Linked DNA regions of Drosophila melanogaster. The protein of the gene in region 2 interacts with the protein of the main gene of each other region in a pairwise test. Each region holds a gene or a part of one and is shown on either strand. Other genes may lie near its edges.

What was found.
Region 1: the proteins of CG14868 (region 2) and borr interact in a two-hybrid assay, tested with the Drosophila melanogaster proteins (one large-scale study listed by BioGRID).
Region 3: the proteins of CG14868 (region 2) and CG13005 interact in a two-hybrid assay, tested with the Drosophila melanogaster proteins (one large-scale study listed by BioGRID).
Region 4: the proteins of CG14868 (region 2) and Taf3 interact in a two-hybrid assay, tested with the Drosophila melanogaster proteins (one large-scale study listed by BioGRID).

Annotation. Positions count from the first base shown.
Region 1 is NT_033779.5:9,250,972-9,255,080, forward strand, and holds borr (borealin-related), read right to left. Parts: upstream 2,148-4,109; 5' UTR 2,016-2,147; coding exon 1,664-2,015; intron 1,380-1,663; coding exon 971-1,379; intron 906-970; coding exon 707-905; 3' UTR 501-706; downstream 1-500. Other genes in the region: aust (australin), read right to left, coding at 1-37; lectin-30A, read right to left, coding at 3,189-3,860. UniProt on the Drosophila melanogaster protein: Component of the chromosomal passenger complex (CPC), a complex that acts as a key regulator of embryonic mitosis.
Region 2 is NT_033777.3:15,367,298-15,371,744, forward strand, and holds CG14868 (uncharacterized protein), read right to left. Parts: upstream 2,649-4,447; 5' UTR 2,482-2,648; coding exon 2,416-2,481; intron 2,354-2,415; coding exon 1,769-2,353; intron 1,717-1,768; coding exon 1,609-1,716; intron 1,551-1,608; coding exon 1,463-1,550; intron 1,405-1,462; coding exon 1,266-1,404; intron 1,210-1,265; coding exon 639-1,209; 3' UTR 519-638; downstream 1-518. Other genes in the region: CG34404 (uncharacterized protein), read right to left, coding at 1-137; CG6136 (uncharacterized protein), read right to left, coding at 3,725-4,447.
Region 3 is NC_004354.4:16,801,995-16,806,291, reverse strand, and holds CG13005 (uncharacterized protein), read right to left. Parts: upstream 2,643-4,297; 5' UTR 2,533-2,642; coding exon 2,300-2,532; intron 2,222-2,299; coding exon 1,012-2,221; 3' UTR 538-1,011; downstream 1-537. Other genes in the region: Rai1 (Rat1 interacting protein 1), read left to right, coding at 3,041-3,735, 3,823-4,255.
Region 4 is NC_004353.4:460,778-468,354, reverse strand, and holds the start of Taf3 (TBP-associated factor 3), read left to right. Parts: upstream 1-1,526; 5' UTR 1,527-1,685; coding exon 1,686-1,854; intron 1,855-3,039; coding exon 3,040-3,558; intron 3,559-3,614; coding exon 3,615-5,300; intron 5,301-5,853; coding exon 5,854-5,967; intron 5,968-6,026; coding exon 6,027-6,850; intron 6,851-6,941; exon of another isoform or gene 6,942-7,307; coding exon 7,308-7,577. Other genes in the region: CG33941 (uncharacterized protein), read right to left, coding at 361-504.

The DNA.
Region 1 (4,109 bases), on a different chromosome or scaffold from region 2:
GGGCCTGACGACGAGCTGTAATCTTGGTGCGAGGCATATTTCTAACGATTTATATATTCCAGTCAACTAATCGCCTAATTCTAACAAAGTCAAAGGGCTCTTTGGTGAACAAGCGATTCAAAACTGTATTCATATCAACGTGCGAAAATACATTTTAAACATTTTTAACATAACATAATTTTATTGGCCACTTTCTGAAATCTGGGAACTTAAAAGCGGTTGCCTCTTTTGCAATTAGCAAAAGAAAGATGTTATTTGAAGGTAGCAGTTTTTGCTAGAGCCATGAAATCCGACCATTTCATCTGCAGCAAACGAGCATCAGTCCTGGCTTGAAGCAAACCCAATTTGTTGTCCACATCCTGCTTGAACAACTTGGCCATCTCATCGACTTTATCCATTGCAGAATTAAATTGGATTCTCACTTTCTCATCTCTTTCGATTCTCCGTCGTTTTGCTTGAAGGCGAGTAATCATCATGGAACGCTTCATTTTTTTTTTTTTGGATTAAGCATGTATTTAAAACATTACATTTAAATCGCCGTACACTTGGATATGAACATGTATTGAAACTTATGCAAATACGATAGATTTTTATGAATAAAGACAAAATACTTGAACTAAATGAGTAAAATGAAAACTGAACTTAAACGAAACGTATTAAAATATATGATATAGCATTATATCTAGATAAGCGTTTGAAATGACAGCTACTTGAACACCGCCTGGCTGGCCTTATTAACAATCATCTGCAAGTTCTCGTGCAGCGTTTTGATCTGGTTAAGGGTGTCCTCGTCCAGGTTCTCCAACAGATTTGACTCCACCTCGTCGGCATCCAGTTTTTTGGGCCGCAAGCTAAGAACTCCGTTCCGAATGGGTATGTTCACATTGGCGAACTTGTCTGGCATTCTATCGTGTGGGAAAAATGGTTTTAACAAATTGGTATCGACACGTAGTATGTGATCAATACTTACACTTGAGCCACCATGGGACTGCCGTATTTGGATAGTGCCACCTCGCCGGGCTTGGGATAGCGCAGGAATGCCATCGGCGGTGTAGTTGGCGATCCGGAGCGCATTTGCTTCTGTTTCAAAGGAGTGCGGTCGGCACTGAAGGCCTTCGCACGCGAGGCCATCGGTGTGCGCAGTTTGCTGCGCGAATTGCGGCTGCTGCTGCTGCTGCTCGAAATTGACGGCGGTTTGGCCGAGTGCAATATGTTGAGATCCCCGCAGGCGGAACGACTGCGCCGCGCTCGACGAGCCCTCGCCGAGTGCAGTGGTCCGGGTGTGCGCATGGCCTTCGTGGACCGCAGCAGGGAGCCTGTGTGGGCGGCCAGGATGCTCCCACCGCTGGCACCGATGCTGCTGTCCTCTGTAAGGTAGCCTAGATACAGTGACCGGCACAGGATGTGGATGTGGGTATATGCATTTTGCGTGCATTGAAATGTGCGGTGCGGAGTTAGAAAGCAAAGTTGAGTTAGTCACAAAGCCGGACACCAGTTAGATTAAAATTAAAAGTGAAAATGGCAACAAGAGGGTATGATGAATACCGAATATACAATGGAATTTGCCAATTTGGCATGTAAAACCGGTATTCATTTGTAATTCGGGTGATGACATCCTTGCCAGCAGATTGGTATAACAGCATACATATATAGGCCAACAAACCTTCGTCATTGCGACTTCCAGTGGCGGAGGGGGCGTGGCCCTCGATGGCGCTGCCACTCATGGACATCGAGGCGAGCAGCTGCGTCTGATCGCTGGCCTTGAAGTCGCTGAAGCGGTCCAGTTCCTCGAAGAGGCGCAGCACTTCGGGCATCTTCAGATTGGCCAGCTCCTTCTGCACCTGGCCGAGCAGTGTCTTCACCTGGTGGTCCACGGCGGAGAGGAACTTGGTCTCCAGCGAATCGATGCTGATAAGGCGGGAATCCATTTTCAGCTCGTACAGGCGCACCTTCTCTTCGCGATTGGCCACCTCGCGGTTGCGTTTGGAGTTCTTTGGTATCTTGGTGCGCGGCATCGTGGCAGCGGCCTTTGTTTACACGTTACAGGGTTTTTGCGAGGAATAACTATTTTCGTAGCAAGCGTCGTCTTTTTGCTATTTCTTTTCGAGTTTGTCCGCTAAAATTCAAGCGTCATGGAACAGTGTTGCCAGATGGCTTTTCATTGCCCAGTTCACGACCGATTGAAAATACTAGAAATATTTTGATGGTGTAAGTGTAAAATGGTAACACTAATGCGCGGTAAATTCAATTAAATAATTCGAACTTAACTGAAGTCACTCCAAAATAACACATTTAAGTATATATCTTCTATATTTATTTATCTATATTTTGAATAATGAGTTTTGAATAATTCCAATGAGTTCTGCAACTAATCTCAATGAACTAGTTCCCTACAACATAGAGATCGATTTTTTTTATATCTTTATTTTTGAAAGGGGAATTCCAACTACCCATTTGTTAATAATGTAACGGTAATAGCATCTTATTATTATAACAAAATACAATATTGGTATATTAGTATTATTGAATAGTAATAATTGGAAAAACTAAAGACTTGCACACTAGAGCGTATAATAACGTAAGTGAAAACTCGAGATATAATTTTGCATCGTATGTGCGGAGGTATCTGAAATGAAAAGCCCCAAAAATTGGAGCCGCAATCCTATTAGTCCGTTTCGAAATCTCGCCCCTGGTCATAAATTGCGCTCTGCTCCACATTGTTGGATGTTTGCTATCTGTCTCTGCTAGTTGCACTTTGGCTGCCACAATGGCAGGATTCTAATAAGCGTGGGTGGCTATGGGTGTGCGAATGGCCCACAAATCAAAAGCATTTTTGTCACCATTTGGGTGGCTTCCTTGTGGAGGGGCGTGGCACTGGCCGCCCTTATTTCTGCACAGAACGTGGACACGTCATGTGTGTAAGGCATTTTGAAATACCAAGCACCGCTTTCTGGGCACTTGATGGAAACCCCATATGGATTGGCCTGGTTTTGTACTTAAGGGAAAATATTTTAATTTTCATTACCCAATAATCTTAATGATCCTCTTGGCTGAGAAAACAGTTATGTACTTCATTTTTGGGCTAGTAAAATAAAAAAGACAGTAGGCTCATAACTTTATTAAAAGCTGTCGGTAAATTGCCGAGATGCAAAATGAAAATAACTTAATTTATTATTTTCGCATTCGCATCAATCCCACTGCTCGGCTTGACATATGAACAAATGGGTGTTGAAACAATTTTCATTGTACATTTCCTTGTTGTATACATTAACGCAATCGAACTTATTGCCCCTTTCTTCTTTCTTCCACTTAAAGAACGGCGGCGATCTGCCGGTGAGTGATGATGCAAAAAGGCCGTTCTTGAACATAGCATTCATATCTATCCAAAAGACGCCGGCCGGCGCTCTTGAGAAGATCTCATTAAACTCCTGCTCATCCCTGATGGTGGCAATGTGACCGCCCAATTGACGACAGGTGTTTGAGGCGCCAAACCAATTTTGTTTGTTTTCCTTCTCAATGTAGAAGCGTCTTGTGCCCATTCTCTGGAAAAGCGCCGGATTAATCCTGTGCGAGATTCGTAGTTTCTCGAGAGTCTCCACACTCTGGTTGCCCATTATGGTCTGCAGCTCGTTCAGTGCGTATGCCAACTTGCTTTGCATGGCCATCAATCGTTCTTCTATCGATCTTTCGATCCTCACTATTTTCTGTTGCATTTCACTTTCCTTCAGCGCAATGAATGTGAACCATTGTTGTTGATTTATAGCCACTTGATCAATTAGCAGCGGATTTTCCGTTTTGTTAGCGAGAACATCACGAGAAGCCCAGGCTAGAATGACGCATATAAAACAATACTTGAACATGTTACTATGTATGACCTGCTAGTCCCAATCCTTAAAACGGACTGTTTCTGGATGTTAACATCTGTATAATGAAATAACAATCCGCATCTAAAAGCATATTAAAGCGTTGAAAACGGTTTACAACGTCTGGCAAATACATAGGTTATTCGTTCTAAGCAGGTGTATAACTAATAAAATTTATTAATACAATTTATGGCTTACCAATTAGGAAAATCTTTCTTGATACCGTACGTTCACCGCACTTTTATG
Region 2 (4,447 bases):
ACGTACTCGAAATCCTCGCCAGCCGCGCTGCCGGAGTGCTTGCCCTGGAATCCGCTGGAGTCACGCTGCTTGCCACTGCGACGCGGCACATCGGTAGCTATCTTGGCCACCCGGGCGACCTGCACATCATTCGACATGGTGGCAATGGGCGGCTGCAACGACTTTCCGACTAGAATTGGCCTGATTTGGGCCGCTTGATGATGACTTTTGATTGGTGCTCCATTCCCAGGATATGTGGCACTGGTGTTAACTCTACATGGCTCATTAAAAACTTTTCTTAAGGCATTTTTAATTCAAAAACTCGAAATTACTCCAACCAGTCGGGATATTTATTGCATTCTTATCAGAAAATGTATACCCAGAAATAAGAGTGTGTGAGAGTGTGTTTATGCTAACGGTATGCAACACTCCGCATATTATTTATCGATAACTTGGGCGCGTCTTTTAAAACTGTATGCTATAGTTATTGTACATATCCAGTTTCAACGCAATATCGATTGAATAAAGTGATTTATTTTATATAATCTGGTTTTATTGTACGCTGTTGCGGTAATATATATATGTATTATATCTTTTGTCAACACTGAGATATGGTTTCATCCATTTCTTTGGGAGTCCTCAATTGAACTAGTTTTTCTCTAAGGAATAGCCGCCAGATTCTCTGCTCGTATCGTCACCATAGCCTCGTAGTCCCGCATGTCCAGATCGTGAAGTGCTTTCTGGACCAGAGTGGCCAGGTGAGGCGGCAGGTCCTTCAGATCCTCCATACGTTCCCGTGCCACTGCACTGGATATTCGTGGCGTGCCGTTGCAGCGGCTGCTCAATCCACAGTTGCCCGAATCTGTTGTGGCGGATGAAGACTTTTGGAAGTCATCGGGCTGCACATCTGCACCGTACACAGACGAATCCACGGACTCCGTTGAAAGCGAGGACATTCCATCGTCGGAATGCAGAGCCTCAACGGACTTGTGCTTCTTTGAATCTTCATGATCCGCTGTAATGGCGACGCCTTCGTTATCTGGCTCAATGGACGGAGTGCTGCTGATGTCGGCGTCATCTACCATGGCGGCACAATAGCCATTGAGGAGCAGCTGCGAAGGCGCATAACCATATTCCACGTCCTCCTCCTGCTCCTCTGCGTTGTCATCGTTTCCGGAGAGGAGTTGTTGCCACCGCTGCTCCAGCTCCGTCATTTTGCCAGCCAGTATTCTGCAGGAAATATGGGTTTATGAAATATATATCAACTTTCAGCTGGATTTTCCTACTTGTTGGTCTTCTTTTGGTGCGTCAGGGCCAAGTTCTTGTCGTTGAGATTGTCCAGCAGGGCCAGACACAAGGATTTTAGATCGCTTAAGCTCTCGGTTTTCTGAGGCAGCTCAATGCCACTCTCGAGGATTGTTTTCACTAGGGTACAAACAAATTAGAAAGGCATGAAAGAGGTGGCCACCATATAATTACTCACCTTGCCGGGGGCTTAGAATGGTGTCCTCATTTGTGCTCCCACCGCCAAGTTTTACAATTCCCTTCTTTCGTTTTGCATCCAACATTGTCTGAATGATTTAAATATAAATAAATAAAATGGTAATAAGTCTTAACTAATACCAGTACCTTGTACTTATTGATGCTCTGTTTGGTGAGCTCCAGTTCGCTGTCTTGGATCTTCACACGTTCATGCAGGTACTTGTTCTCCAGCAAAACACCATCGATGTCCAGGAGCTGGAAAATCAATAACTATCAAGTAAGTACTATATAGCATCAGTTAACTCACCCTTGGATGCGTTTTCTTCGCCCTGAGGGCCACAAAGAGTTCATGATTTAGGCGGTGTGCCTTGCACTTGTAGGCATCCCGCTCGGTTATCAGCTCCTCCTTCTCATCGATCACCGCCTTCAGGTCGAAGGCCAGCTGGGCATTCCTTTTTTTGAGGCCCTCCAGGTGGCAGATAAAGTTTGCCCGCTCACGACGCCACTGCAGCTCCTCCTTGTTGCGAGCGGCATTCTCGCTGGCCATTGCCTGTACCCGCGACTTGTTGCTGGCCTCCGTCTCCCGGAGTAGTTCCATGTCGCCATGCAGCTCGTTGAGCCGCTGCCTCAGGGCTTCCACTTCGGTGCTGAGCTTTAGGTTCTGCTCGCGCGTCTCGTGGAGCAGGGCTGCCAGGCTGGAGTTCTCGCTGAGGGCTCCACATCCACCGACAGCCAGAAGTTCGCTATTACTCTTCAGCGCGGAGTAGCGCAGCTGCAGGGTCTCCGCCACCAGCTTGTACTGGTCTCGCTCCACGCGAAACTGTTCCAGCTCCTGGCGCAGGATTCGAAGTGCCTCCACCTTGCTTTGAAGTTTCCTGTGCACCGCCGAGGTCTGTAAGGGTGGGTCGGTCATACAACGCACTTGGTTCGCTCGAAGGGTGGGGGCGGACTCACCTCTACATTGTACGTGGCCATATGTTGACCGAATCCGTGATGACTAGCCACATCGTCCAAGTCCATGCCGAATGCTTGAGTGGGTTTTCCGTTTGCCGAGCTCGAGATGTTGACATTGACAGTGATTGTAAACTGAGGGCTGTCCGGAGGAGCCAGCTGTATCACACTTTCTCGGGCTCCAAGGACCCCATTCTGTTCCAAAACACACAGCTAGAGTGAATCAATTTTAGATGCGCCTGCGCATGAAATTCGATTCATATCGATAAGCCTAATTTGAAATTAATGTTCTTGTCCTCATATGTAAATATCATTAAACAGCTAATGTCATTATTTTGAAAAGAGTTTTCAATTTATTTCATTCAATTTGCCTATTTGTAGGAATACGGATTTTTCGACATACATATCAGATGCGACCAAACTCCTTCTGGCTCACTGCAGGTTTTTTTGGCGACTTGATATTGCACTTAACACCCTTCTGCGAATGGTTTTCACTTCGGCAATTGTGGCCGTTTTGAAATCCATCTTTTCGACAAGCTTTAGCATGCATTTCACTTGGGATATACTTGGATTTCAAGAAAGAGATCTCAGAAATTGATAAAAACCTACCTTTGAAACCAATCTCCTCACTTAGCTCGTAATATGAACTCAGCTCCCTACCACCTTTCTGCCGTTCACATACTTTTCCGGAACGGCTTCTAGATGTTTGTGTTTTCGTTTGGATCTCCACCACGTCTTGGGTTTGCTCTTCCTCTTCAGGCTCCATGTGAGACTTGCATTGCGTCCAACATGCCTCTCTGATGTTGGTCGCCTTGCAAGTCCTACGAAGATGACACCTTCTTTTACTTGAATTTCGCCTAAAAATATATTAGTTTATAACCGAGTTCATATTTCCTTCTTTAGCTTACTCTATTTGTTTATCTTGAGCTTTGTTTTCCAATAAAGATTTAATGCTGTGCTCATTGTACGATAGCCCCGAAATCAATCTTCTATTGTTGGCCAGCAGTTCTTTCAATCTCCTCATATGATTATTTAGCTTTACATTGTATGCTTCTATTCTATGCAATACCCTTTCTGCATTATTTAAGTGATCATTAAAAGAATTATGTTCTAGAGCAGCAGGATTCTCTACTATCTCCACAATCATGTTGTTTCAGCACAATCAAATCAAATCAAATTTGGATTATTTTTTAGAATTTAGAATTTTAGGGATAAGACTACTTAAGTAAAAGGTATATACTAGTTATATATGATGTAAACAAACAGTTAAGGAATAATTTAAGTCTTAGGGATAGGTTAAGTACTATGATTTTCAGCGGGAGCTCATCGCTTTCGCAATGGTAACCATCTTTCGCACCACGATGGAGTTGGTTCCGTAGTAGGGGTCCACGTCCTGTTTGCCCATGGTCACGTCACACTCCATTCGCGTGGTGGTGGGCGCCACGTAGTCCTCGCCAGCCGTGTCCAGGGCGGAAGCGTGAAACTCTAGGCAGCGACTGACCGTGAGGATCTCCTCCAGGTTGGACACCTTTATGCCGGCGCCGGGCATAACTATAAAGTCTCTTTGATGTTTGGCTATCAGCTGTGCCAGGCAATCTACGCCATCGGCAGCCGTGGGTCGGAATCCGCTGCTCAGCAGACGTCGGAAACCTAGTTCCCGCAACATGTCGACATTCTCGTCCATGGACTTCTGGTCGGTGAGGTCGAAGGCGCGGTGAAAGGTCACTGGCAGACCACCGGACGCCAGCAAAACGTGCCGACACTGATCCACGTTGATGCTGCGATCCGGATTCAGGGATCCGAAAACGAAGCCATCGGCACCGTTTTCCCGCAGCAAGTCCATGTCCGTGAGCAGGGCGCACATCTCCTCGTCGCTGTAGACAAAGTCGGTGCCCCGCCGTGGCCTCAGCATGCAGTAAATGGGCATTGTGAGCGTTTCCTTAATAGTTTTTAGGGTACCGATGCTGGGTGTCAAGCCACCTTCGCCCAATGCCGAACACAGTTCAATGCGTGAAGCTCCGCCTTCCTCGGCGGC
Region 3 (4,297 bases), on a different chromosome or scaffold from region 2:
CACTTCTTTGAATCTCCGCTATTTATAGGTCACTTTCTGACTGCACTTTTAGGTGCAATTCCATGGCGGTCATCAGCTTTAATCATATTGAACCAAGGCAAACACGGTCGTCCATTTGCAGTGATAACTGCCAAATTGATTTTAGCCACCCCCTTGCCATCCTCCACGTATTTTGAAAATCAAGTGGATGGCCAGAAAATATGATTACATCGTGGCAAATAAACTTTACACCTGAAAGTAAACATAGATACACGCACGCTTTTCAATAAAGATATTCTAGATATTGTAATACACACAGGTATTGAAAGGGATTTATTTAAGCAGCAGCTTTGTACTAAAAGCAATAATAATTTTTCACAGAAATTTACCATTTAGCTGAACGCCATTAAAATTGCGATCAATTTAATTGACTTGCAGTAAACACAAATGAAAAGTATGAAAAGCTGCTAGAAACCACAAGCATATATACATTAAACTAAATTGGCCAGGATTTTTATTCACTTCCAAATGTTCCAGCAAATAATAACGCAACAATTTCAAAAATCAAGGAAGATAAATTCATTTAATAGGCATCTTTCGTTAGCCAGTTAAGTACTTCATAAATAATCTCCATCCGCATGCGGCATTTTTGCCACTCAACCATTTACATTTGCGTACTAATTGCATAGATTTTTGGCTGGAGGTTATATGAGGTTACTTTTCAAATTATACAATTTCAATATTAATATTCAGTAAAAATTCAAAATACAATACCAAAATGTATCTAAGAGATCCCTATTTCTATATTTACATACTCCATTAATACATTTTAATCTACTTAGAAAAGTTCGTTTCAATTTTCAGAGACTTTCTTCATGCAATATGCACGATAAATAAAATAAATGTTTTAAACTTTCATATTTTAGAACCTTTTCAGTGTTCAAGTTAAAAAGTAGTTGAAATACCTTTCACTCTATCATAGAATTCTTCATCTCCATTGCTAGCTAAGCGCTTTCTATACATTTGTCCCTTCTAATTCGGATTGAACTGGAAGAAGTCCACGTTGAGATCGAGAATAGCCTCTGTGTTGGGCGTTTCCTTCATGGTCAGGGCCTCCACGGCATTATCGCTGGCATGATCGTAGCCATGGTTCACAGTCGGAGGAGCAGTTGCCACTGGCGGCTGCATAAGATCGCTGACGTTTCTAAGCAGACTCTCCTCGGAAGGCGGATGAAGTTGACCGCCCGCCGATAGATTGAGACGCTGTGCAGCCTCGTCTGTGAGCGGATCGTCCAGCGACATGCTCAACTCTGCGTAGACCACCAGATTGCGGGCTCCTTCACTACCGCTGCCGGCAACCAAGGCCGCTCCCTCTGATTCCGGCATCGGTGCCAGCGGCGACTCCATGGCGGACATATCCAACGCATACTGACCCTCGGGTATGCCCAAAACTCGTGCAATTCGTGCATTTACAAAATGCAGTCCAGAGGTATTCCGTATAAGCCGTTGGCTGCGCAATTGCAGCTGCTCCACAAAGTCGTTAAGTTCGTTAAGAAAGAGATCAGAGCGCTGTTCCTCGCTGAGATGGGAATGCCGCTGCAGTTGGGCGGTCAGAAGGCCGAACAGCGACGGCGTGGAGGGAGGATGAACCGTTGATGGTACTGTAGCTACAGCTACAGGTGGTGTCTGCTCGCCCGGACGCGGCATGTGCTCTGGGAATTTGACAAAGTGACGCTGCAGACGGCGTCCCAAAAAGATCTTTCCACAGCCGGGACAAACGGCATTTTTGGGCACGGCTCGTTGGATGGTTGTCGTTGTGGTCGGTTCCTGGCTTATACTGACGCTGCTGCTGACACTCGTGCTTTTCGGCGCTGCCATGGGTGCCCGGTAGTCCTTGTCCCGCAAGTCGGCCACCAGCATCTCAAGCATGCGGGCAGAACTTGGCTCAACCGCTGAGCCACTGGTCACGGGAGCGGGCTGTGGCATCAAGCTGCGCACCTGGCGACCGGATCTAGTGCGATGGGTGTCGGGAGCAGGTTTTTGCTCCGCTAGTGTTGGTTTCTTCGCCACAGGAGCGGTGGCAACCGAACAGGCTCTTTTCGATGGTCTACCCACTTTGGCAGGCGGATTCTGGGCATTTTTCTCTATCGCCGGGCGAATCCCCATGACGGCGGGATCCGGACAGCGGTAAATCGTTAATTGTTGCGTAGCCGCATCTGTGCGAATCACCTGATGGCGCTTTCTGCACAGGAATAAAAGATCACGGAACGTGATCAGAGAAGGTGAATGAAAGCTCCAAAAAATAGGGATTACTACCCACCGATCGATGACTATGTGATCGTTTTTGGACAGCTTGTGCAGACTGCAGGCCAGCTGGCCCAGAGTATCCTTAACGCGTAGCAAATCGCCTCCTGCAGCCGGCAAATCTTCGTCGGGCACGGAATTCTCTGCAGGATTCTTGGCGGCCTCCTGTCGATCCTGTACACCACCGGTCTTATCCGGCAGCACCTGCAGCTCGGCCAGGACCGAGGGATCCTCCAGGAGATGCTTCATTGGCCAGCCACGTTTGGTGGTTACAAATAAACATAAAAACAAATCTATGAACAAAACCGAATCGGATTTCGTGTTATTTTGGTATTTAGTATATTCTTAGATTCCCATGACTGTGGTCACACAAATTGTTTGATTTAAGCTTGCAAATACCTCGTGGTGAATAGACGTGCTCAAACAGAACATAAAGCAAATCTAAGAGTCAAAATTTTTTCTCTTCATCGAGGTACTATCATCATTAGCGTTCACTTATTACATTAAAATTAATAAGCACATCATCATCCCATTTTTAATACAATTTAGCTTTCGATACTAATCGCCTACACTTGATTCTCACCACAACCATTTCCCAAGGTCTTAGCCCATTTAGTTGCGCAGTGGAGAAAGAAAATAATCGATGATTCCTCGAAAAACATCGATGTTTGCGATTTTTCTCCACCTCTAATAAATATTAGCGTTATTTTCCGGATAATTATAGTTTGAACTTGGAAAATCCGCGGAGGCGAAGGAAATGGCCGAGAACGCGGGCTTCATCAGTGTGCCCTGGGGGCAGCACAAGCTGGGCGCGATGTACAATACGCCGTTTCCCTCGATAAGCCGCCCGAAGTGCATCGGTGTGTGCAGCATAAACGCTAGCCGGGAATTTGTGGACGACGCCAGCTGCGCCAGCTACTTGGCTGGCCAACCGTGGCCACCGCTGCCGTTCGATCTTAACGGGGGTATAGAGGATGTGATCCGTAAGCCCGTCGAGAACGGCAAACGGGATCTGGAAATTATGCTGACCTACATTAAGCAACACCAGAAGGAGCTGCTCCGTCAGAGTAGCTCCGATGCGAGAAATCTACGCCTGGACAGCGACTTTGTAACACTGCGCGGTATTTTGCGGCAGATAATGTGCCTGCAGTATGATAATCGCTCATTCCGCGTCAAGGCGACGCTCCTGAACGGCAACGTCTACATGTGCAAGGAGGAAACCCCAGAGCAGCAGCTGGAGAACGCGAACATGAGCAGGGCACAGCGGGTCATGTGCTCCTGGGGCTTCAAGTTCGAGCAGTACCTGACCAGTGCCCAGGCGCAGGGAAAACCGGTGACCAATGTGCCGGTCAACGAGGCAGAGGAGTTCATGGGCGTGTACCGCACGAACCTGGCCGGGATTTTGATGCTATACGGCGCCGAACTGGACTGTGTGGACAGCAAGGAGCCAGTGTGAGTGGTCCAGGGTTTAAATACTTATGAATGATTAATGTTCCATCCATTCATTATTTGTGTATACACTTACACGAATCCCATTAGTGACTTCAAAGATTGCAGAGTGCTCGACTCATTGAAATTCGTAGAGCTAAAGACCAGCGTCTTCAATATGAACCCTCACCAAATTCGCACCTTCAAATCGTTCAAGTCTGCCAACTGGTGGAGTCAGTCATTCCTGGTGGGCATCACTACGCTCTACGTGGGACTCCGCGACACCAAGGGCATGCTGCAGAGGATCGATGAGATCGATGTGGCAACACTGGCCCGCAACAAACCGTGGAGTGCATCGGCAATGGCTTGGTACCTGGAACAGTTTCTGCGCAATCTTAAGAAGCTGCTGGTGAACATTAACGATCCGTTTGCGGTGGTCCAGGTGACTTTTTTAAATAAGCACGCCAGCTACGAAGTGCTGCGCGGTCCGGAACATCAAATCCTGCCCAACTGGTATCGAGATTTGCTCAAAACGCGCTCCTAAGGCAATGCATAACATTTTCTAAACAACAGCAAGTCTGATTTT
Region 4 (7,577 bases), on a different chromosome or scaffold from region 2:
AAATGAGAAATCTGCGCACTGAAGTGTATTCGTGTTTTTGCTAGTGGTTGATTGATTTTTTGTGACCGTATGAATATTGAGGGTGCGTCGTCGTTGGAGCAAGCGTCGCAACGGCATGAAACAAACTCTTACAGACTCTGTGACTGAGTCTTAATGCTTAATATCAATATTCTAGTTTTCATTGTTCCCGAGATCACAGCGTTCAGATTGATAGTCAGACGGACTAACCAGTTACTCGATAACTGACCGACTGCATATGAAATCTTCAGTATATGTAAGGAAATACGATACCTATACACCTATTATGGTTAACATAGGTGTAAACGTGTATTCGTTGGGAATCAGATTATCCACCCTTACCTGATTCTTAAGAGTTTCGTCAATGTGAATGGTAGACGTCTTCCGAATCATGTCATGAGAATATTTAAAGTTAACGGGTCCTAAGATCCCGCTCTCTATGAAAAAATGTTTTGCTTTATCAATGCTCGAGTTCAATGGTTGCATTTTTTAGTTCTTATTAGATTAAAAAAGGAGTAAAACGTTGGTCAGATCAATGTTGATGGAGATCTTCTTACTCATTTATACTGAGTATTTCAATAACTAGCTGAAAAGTTTAAAGGATTTGAGCTTTAAGTAGAATAAAACTTTTTATTAGACTTACACATATACCCAACACATGCAAATGTTCATATAGTTGTTTTATTTGTTAATTTTTATATTTTACATTATTACAAATACAAAATATTAAGTGCCGAAGATCTGTCGCACGCTTCTTTGTGTGAATACTCGACTAGAACATATATGGGAAACAATACCTAACCCAATAAATGTCTTAAGATATAAGTTTCTTCTAAACTGATCGAAAATATAACTAGTATTCTATCAGTAGTTTTGTGTCATTATACATTATACCCTCTTTCCACTAAATTACCTGCATATATACACATGTTTGGGATATAGTTCACATGATATTTTTGAAGCGATTTTAGGCTTAATGTTATTTTATTAAATTTATATTTATATATATTATTTATATTTATAATTATATTATTATTTATTCGGTAATTTCATAGCTGTTCTGGGCATTACTTTCTTTCCACAATAAACATAACATTAGATGCTGTTAAAATTTGTAGTAAGTAATCGTAGTAATAATAGTAATAGTAGTAGTAAAACTAAAACATTTTTACGGGTAACAACACAAGACTCTCGTTTCACTCTGCATTCAAGCGCTCTATTATTAAACAAGCTCTAATTATATTTCCATCGTTCAATATCTATTTTAAAGAATAGAAGGATTAGAAAACTTTTTCGTCTTATTTTCAAAATTTGTGTCTTATTCGAACACTAACAGCGAACATACCGAAAGCAAACCTTTTATCTGCCCTTATAACCACTTTCAAACCACATAAAAAATTGCAGTTTGTTTATGTTGGTCAATCAATTGAATTTGATTGAACCCCATGATTACCACTTTTGGCATACCCCAAATATCGATATATTTCCCATCAAAGGCAAAATCGATAAGTTATCGTTAACTAAACATCCACAGATTGTAGTTCGTCTAATAAAGGTGTAGACACCAAGTCAATTAATTTTAATAACAAGAGGAAGTTCGTGGGACGGTTAAACCTATTCACAGCATTTCCAAGGTTTTCTAAAGAAGGTGTACCTCATGAAAGAACATGATGGCAGACAGATACGCTTCAGATTTGGCCCTTGTTGTCGTTGCGCAGATAACGCAAACTATTGGTTACAGCTGCACTCTAAGTGCACCCTTGGAGTTGTTGCAAGACATATTGCAGAAGTTTGTACAGGAGTTCGCTCGAGACATGCATAGACATATGGAACACGGTAAGTGGTATAGACCCTCAAATCAACGGAACCGATCATGAAATACAACAAAGCCTGAGTAGTTATAGTCGTTACTTGTAGAATAAGAGATTCAATAAAAAGTATGTGACATATATGTACATGTACATAAATGTATAACTTATCATCCCTGCAGTTCCATCAGACTATCATTAATAAATCATTATTTATCATTAAAACAATTTTGTTTGGAGTTAGGGCATTTTGCTTTCAGTTGCGTTAGAATACCGGTCAACCTGTCCGTTTAACCTTAAAGTAAAATATATTAGTATAATGTGTACAGAAATGTATTACGAAAAATGTACATCGCTTCTGCGAGTAGTACGTGTTGTTGCGTGTAAAATGAATCCATTGCCATTGGAATTTCCTGATTAAGCTCGCGCCTGCTACTCGCATAAATCTAGTCCCAGTTATCCGCGAAAAAGGAAGCGTGCCTCTTAGAAAAGTAATCTTTTAATTTATTTCTTTCTTTTATTGTTATTTCCCTTTTCCTCGCCCAGTCCCTTTCACCTACATCAGTATATAATTTCTCTAGTTCCGATGCGCATTAAAAATTTAAAGTTTCTTACGAAACTTATGTGCTCGGCGACTTAGAGCGTCAGCTTAGCATTCGGCTGGAAATAAAAGATCCATAATTTATTGCTGATTCCCTGCTTGTGGCTGTGCAGCCAAAGCAGTTGGTACTGTGGGCGAAACCGATGATCTTGGGATGTTTTTAAGGAGCGATGAATTGTGGGACTGCCGGGGTCTCGATTGGGGATTATGAAACCTCAATAGGCATGTAGATTGTATTTTTTGCAAATTATTATTTCATTAATTGTCTTGTAAACACCAAAAAAAAAAAAACAATAAATCTTTGATTTATATATATCTTAGATTAAGATATATCTTAGATTAAGATATATTTTAGATTAAGATATATCTTAGATTAAGATATATCTTCCTTGTAACCACCGGAACAGAAATAAAAATAAATAGTTGAGGAACTCGACTAAAGCGTTCTCTTATATTTTCTTTTTAATTTTGCTTGGTATGTTACTTAATAACGTTATTTATATGAGTTCAAAAAAATCTTATTAAAACCAAACAAAAAATCAAAAATGCTTTGTTTATTTGGATAAAATTTATAAAAATATTAATTGACAAGTATATATATTACTAATTTAGCAAATCGGATAGAGCCGAACCTTAAGGATGCACGCTTAAGTATAAAAAATCTCAGCATCAATGTTCAAGAACTATTGGACTACATAGGTAATGTCGAGCCTGTTGGATTCATCCGGGATGTACCACAGTTTCCCATTGGAAAATCTGTAAACATGAACTTCCTTAAGCCTGGAAGCGCTGAAACTCTAACGCGACCTGTCTACATATTTGAATACTTGCCACCAATGCAGGACCCCGAACTTCGTGAAATTCCAGCCGATGTTCAAAAGGAATTTTCGGAAAAGCAAGAGTTTTGTTCAAAAGCAGAGTATAGTTCAACAAACGCAGCTGATAAGTTAGGCGCCAAGCACATTGATTCTATCTCTCCTAATACTGTGATAAATTTCCGGTCGAATGCCTTTGAATTGGACGTTGGGAGCTCAGTCCGCGAAATGAGCAGCGTGGTAATGACAACAGGGGGATTCATAAGTCCAGCTATTGAAGGCAAGCTCCCCGAAGATATCATACCGGATATAGTTGGTACGACCTATCCTTATACCACAGCTTAATAAATTTTCATGTATCGGTGTTTATAGAAAAATTTTTAGGTTTGGATGCACCCTTTTCACCGACGATAATTGTAAATTCGTTACAAAAATCTCCACAACTGGCGCTTTCTGACAGAGACAAAACAGTAAATCCACGAAAAATCATTCCCTCAGAAACTAAAATCTTCAAACAAAATGCTGCATTATTGACAAGTGGACATTCAGAGTCTTCAATAATATATGCGTCTAACAACCATACGATGCTAACTGTTACAACACCTAAGAAGAATAGAAAACAGAAACATGATTTAATATGCGAACCCGGTCAAAGCGAACTTCTAACTAATCCGTTTGAAAAAGCTCAGGAAAAGTCACAGAGAAAAGCTTTAAAAATGTATAAACAAACCTCAAAGAACCAAAGAGACAGCTCAATTAATCAAATACAAAACATGAAAAAGTTAAAAAAAAAATTTAACCGCGGATCCTTCGATCCAAATAAAAAACATTTAGAAAAAATATTTAAGAAGCAGTCCAAACTTAAGCAAAATGATCTTCAACTGGACATCGACGAAAAACACTTTTTGCAGAATTCTCAAACTACGAGCGGCCTTGCCATAAAAGCTAACTCAAATGAAAATGCTTTACAAGCTGATATCCCTAGTCAGCCGCCAACAGTAACAAGCCAGATTGAAAATAATTTTCGAAATTCAATTTATCCAGTGCAGCCATCTGTAATTCAACAAACGCAAGTGCTATTGGCAGAAAAAAAAAGTGGATCAGAACCAGAACGAAGTAAATTGGACATTTTTAAGAAAATTTCTAAGCCACGTACTCCACGTCCAGATATTGGGGCGACTTTAGTACCTCCTGGAACCGGGGTATCTGTATTTGGAAGCACAATGACCCCTTCAGCATTAATTAGTCTTCCATCGGGGACTACTATAACTCCTACACCTTCACTTGGTCTAAATTCTGAAAACAAAAACGTTCCGAGTATGAAAATCAACCCTTGCAATATATTCGATGGAACTATACCTTTAACTAAAGCAGGCGTTGAAATGTCAATTATTGATTCGCCAAAGCCAAAAAAGCGAGGTCGCAAACCTGGAGGAAAAAATGTAATAAAACAAACAAATGTTGTATCGCAACCTTTAATTAATAAGGTCGAACGGAAAAAGTCAAGCCAAGCTATTACACTGCCTCTATCATCATCTCCAATGATAATAACCCAAAGTTCTTTAAACGTCTCCCCGCCAACAGAACCTCTCAACTTGTGTAATACCGAACAGCCCTCGAATAATTTTTTGTCAAACCTGTATGCAAAAGAAAAAAAGGACAGAAAAAAGTACAAATCATTACCAGAAAATGTAATGCAATTAGACAAGAGCTGTTCTCCTGAAAAGGCATCAACACTACATAATTCTATTCGACCCACAAAACAAAATAATGATGTACAATGTTCAGATAAATTTGTGACTATATCCAATGCTTTGTCAAATGCATCAATTTACCCTGGAATTCAAACAGGAATGGTTCCGTTGCTTCCTTTATTGCAATTTCCACCACGACCTGGTCTTATTCCTACTGGACCTGGGCTTTTTCCTGCAGTCACTGGTTTAGTTGGCTTCGGGAATCACGGTAACAGAATACCTATTTCGCCGTTCATAGATTATCCTGGACCAGAAGAATCAGTTGCGGATACTGTTCGATGTCCACCAATTAAGGATTCTCCTGGTACGTCAAATGAGTTATTTTTATACGCATTGCTCGTAGTATATATACGTAGTATATATTTTCGTGACCAGGATCAATAGCCGAGTGGATCTGATCCTGTCCTGTCCGTCCGTATGAACGTCGAGATCTCATGAACTATAAAAAGCTAGTAGGTTGAGATTAAGCATAAAGATTCTAGAGACATAAACCCAGCTGAAGTTTGTTGACCCAAACTTTACTTTACCATACCAGTTCGAGTATCACAGCTCGAAGAATATATTGCTTACATAAAAGTCTCGGCAATATCTTAATTCATTACAGCAAAAATACTAATCTGAAACTAATCATTGAACCGTTGAATGTAGAAAATAGGTATAGGTACACACTCAAGAAGTGGTATTGGGAAGCTTCTAGATGGGTTAGTATGAAATATTTGCGTTTGTCATAAACTAGATATTTGGAGGAGCTCAAATTTTTTTTTTATATTGACAATACGTACCTACCTACAATATGTGAATTATTTGTCGACCAAAATATTTAAATATTTATAATGATTAGAAAAAATAATTTTTAGTTACTGATTCTGATCAATTTCTGAGCCGATCTTCCACGCAAACTGACTTGCAAATGGATCGAAACTACTGCAATGTTGCTCCATTAGTACCTGACTCAATGAAATTCGCCGAGTGTAAGTTTAACGGTAAATATATTTGTAATTTAAAAATAACTTATTACTTATATCTGTAGGTAAAAGCGTATCTTGTGCCAGCACAATATTGGAAAACCCATCTGCACAGGCTACAAGCAAAATAAACACGAAACCGCTTTTGGAGGCTTCTGGAAATCCTGATGATCCAATAGAGGTTTCAGATGATTCAGATGAATCAATGCACAACAGGCAGATGGTTCAAAGAAAAACCCCAATATCATCACCAACTTATGTTAAAACCAGCTTCGCAGAACTAAATCCCTCCTCGTTTACGTCAGCTGCATCTAATGGTGAAGAAAAATCCAAAATGGATCTAAGGAATATTGTGTCTCTAAGCTCTAACGAACCACTTAAAAAATTTAAAAAACTTGTTAAACAGAGTTTTCCCGATGTAAAAAGCGTACCCCACACGCCAGCTTCACATTCATCATTTCCACAATTTAACTTGCCTAATTTTATGGGAGGTGACAAATTCAGTTTAGCTGGGGGAGCAGATCTTATTCCTCTGTCGAGAGTGAGTGATTCGGAATATTCCTCCAAAATAGTACCATTCAGTAGCTTAGGTGGAACCATACCGAATCAAATCAAAATTTCAGAAGAGCACAATATTTTTTCTACCTTTTCTAACTACGAAGATATTACAATAACACCAACTGGATTAACGTCGTTGGAACCGAAAATGCGGAAACATCACAAAAAGCTAAAAAAGGTTAAAGAAGGGAAAAATAAAAAAAAGAAAGAGAAAAAGGACAAATCAAAGAAAGCGGATCAGATTGGCTTACCATCTTTCAAATCCGACCGGAAAATAAAGGCCAATGATAAAAGGCAAAAAAAAGAAAAGAAAAAGGATAAAGATAAGCAGGTTTGTGTCAATTCTTTATTTATAAAAAAATAGGTGTTCGTGTTGTGGTATTTGGATCAGATATGTAGATACGCCGGAGCTGATAAGCAACCTTTGCGATAAGTACGTACACAAACTCATTTGAAAACAGCAAGTTATGTGGGAAACATTTTTAAAATCATGAATTCTGTGAACATATTCCGTATAATAACATTAAATTATGCATTATGCATTATACATTATACATTATGTTCCAAATTTGTATTAATACTTATATAGACTGTTGTGACTAATTATAACATCGAAGCCTACAGCTTGGTATAGGTACAAAAACATCTTAATCCTACATAAACATGTAAAGCAGCCAAATCTTTTAAAGTTATATTTTTAGTTCTTACAAATTTTATTTTAGTCTATACACATATCTCAGCAAAATCTTTTAAAGTTAAATTTATAGTTTAATCAATTCTTATTTTAGATTTTAGTCCATATACCAGATGACACAGAAGAATTTGACAAGGTGCCTTTAGCTAACAACGATGAACCTGTATTGAAATCAAGTTCCATGACAATAAATCCATCGTTAGGTGCCGCCACAAGTGGAATATCTCCAAATCAAATACCAAAACTAACACTAAAACTTAGTGGAAAATCTACATTATTTTCGTCTTCAGAAAAGGAGATGACAGATGCAGGGAAACTAAAGCAAACCACGATTTTGTCTTCAGAAAATAAGAAGCGTGAACGG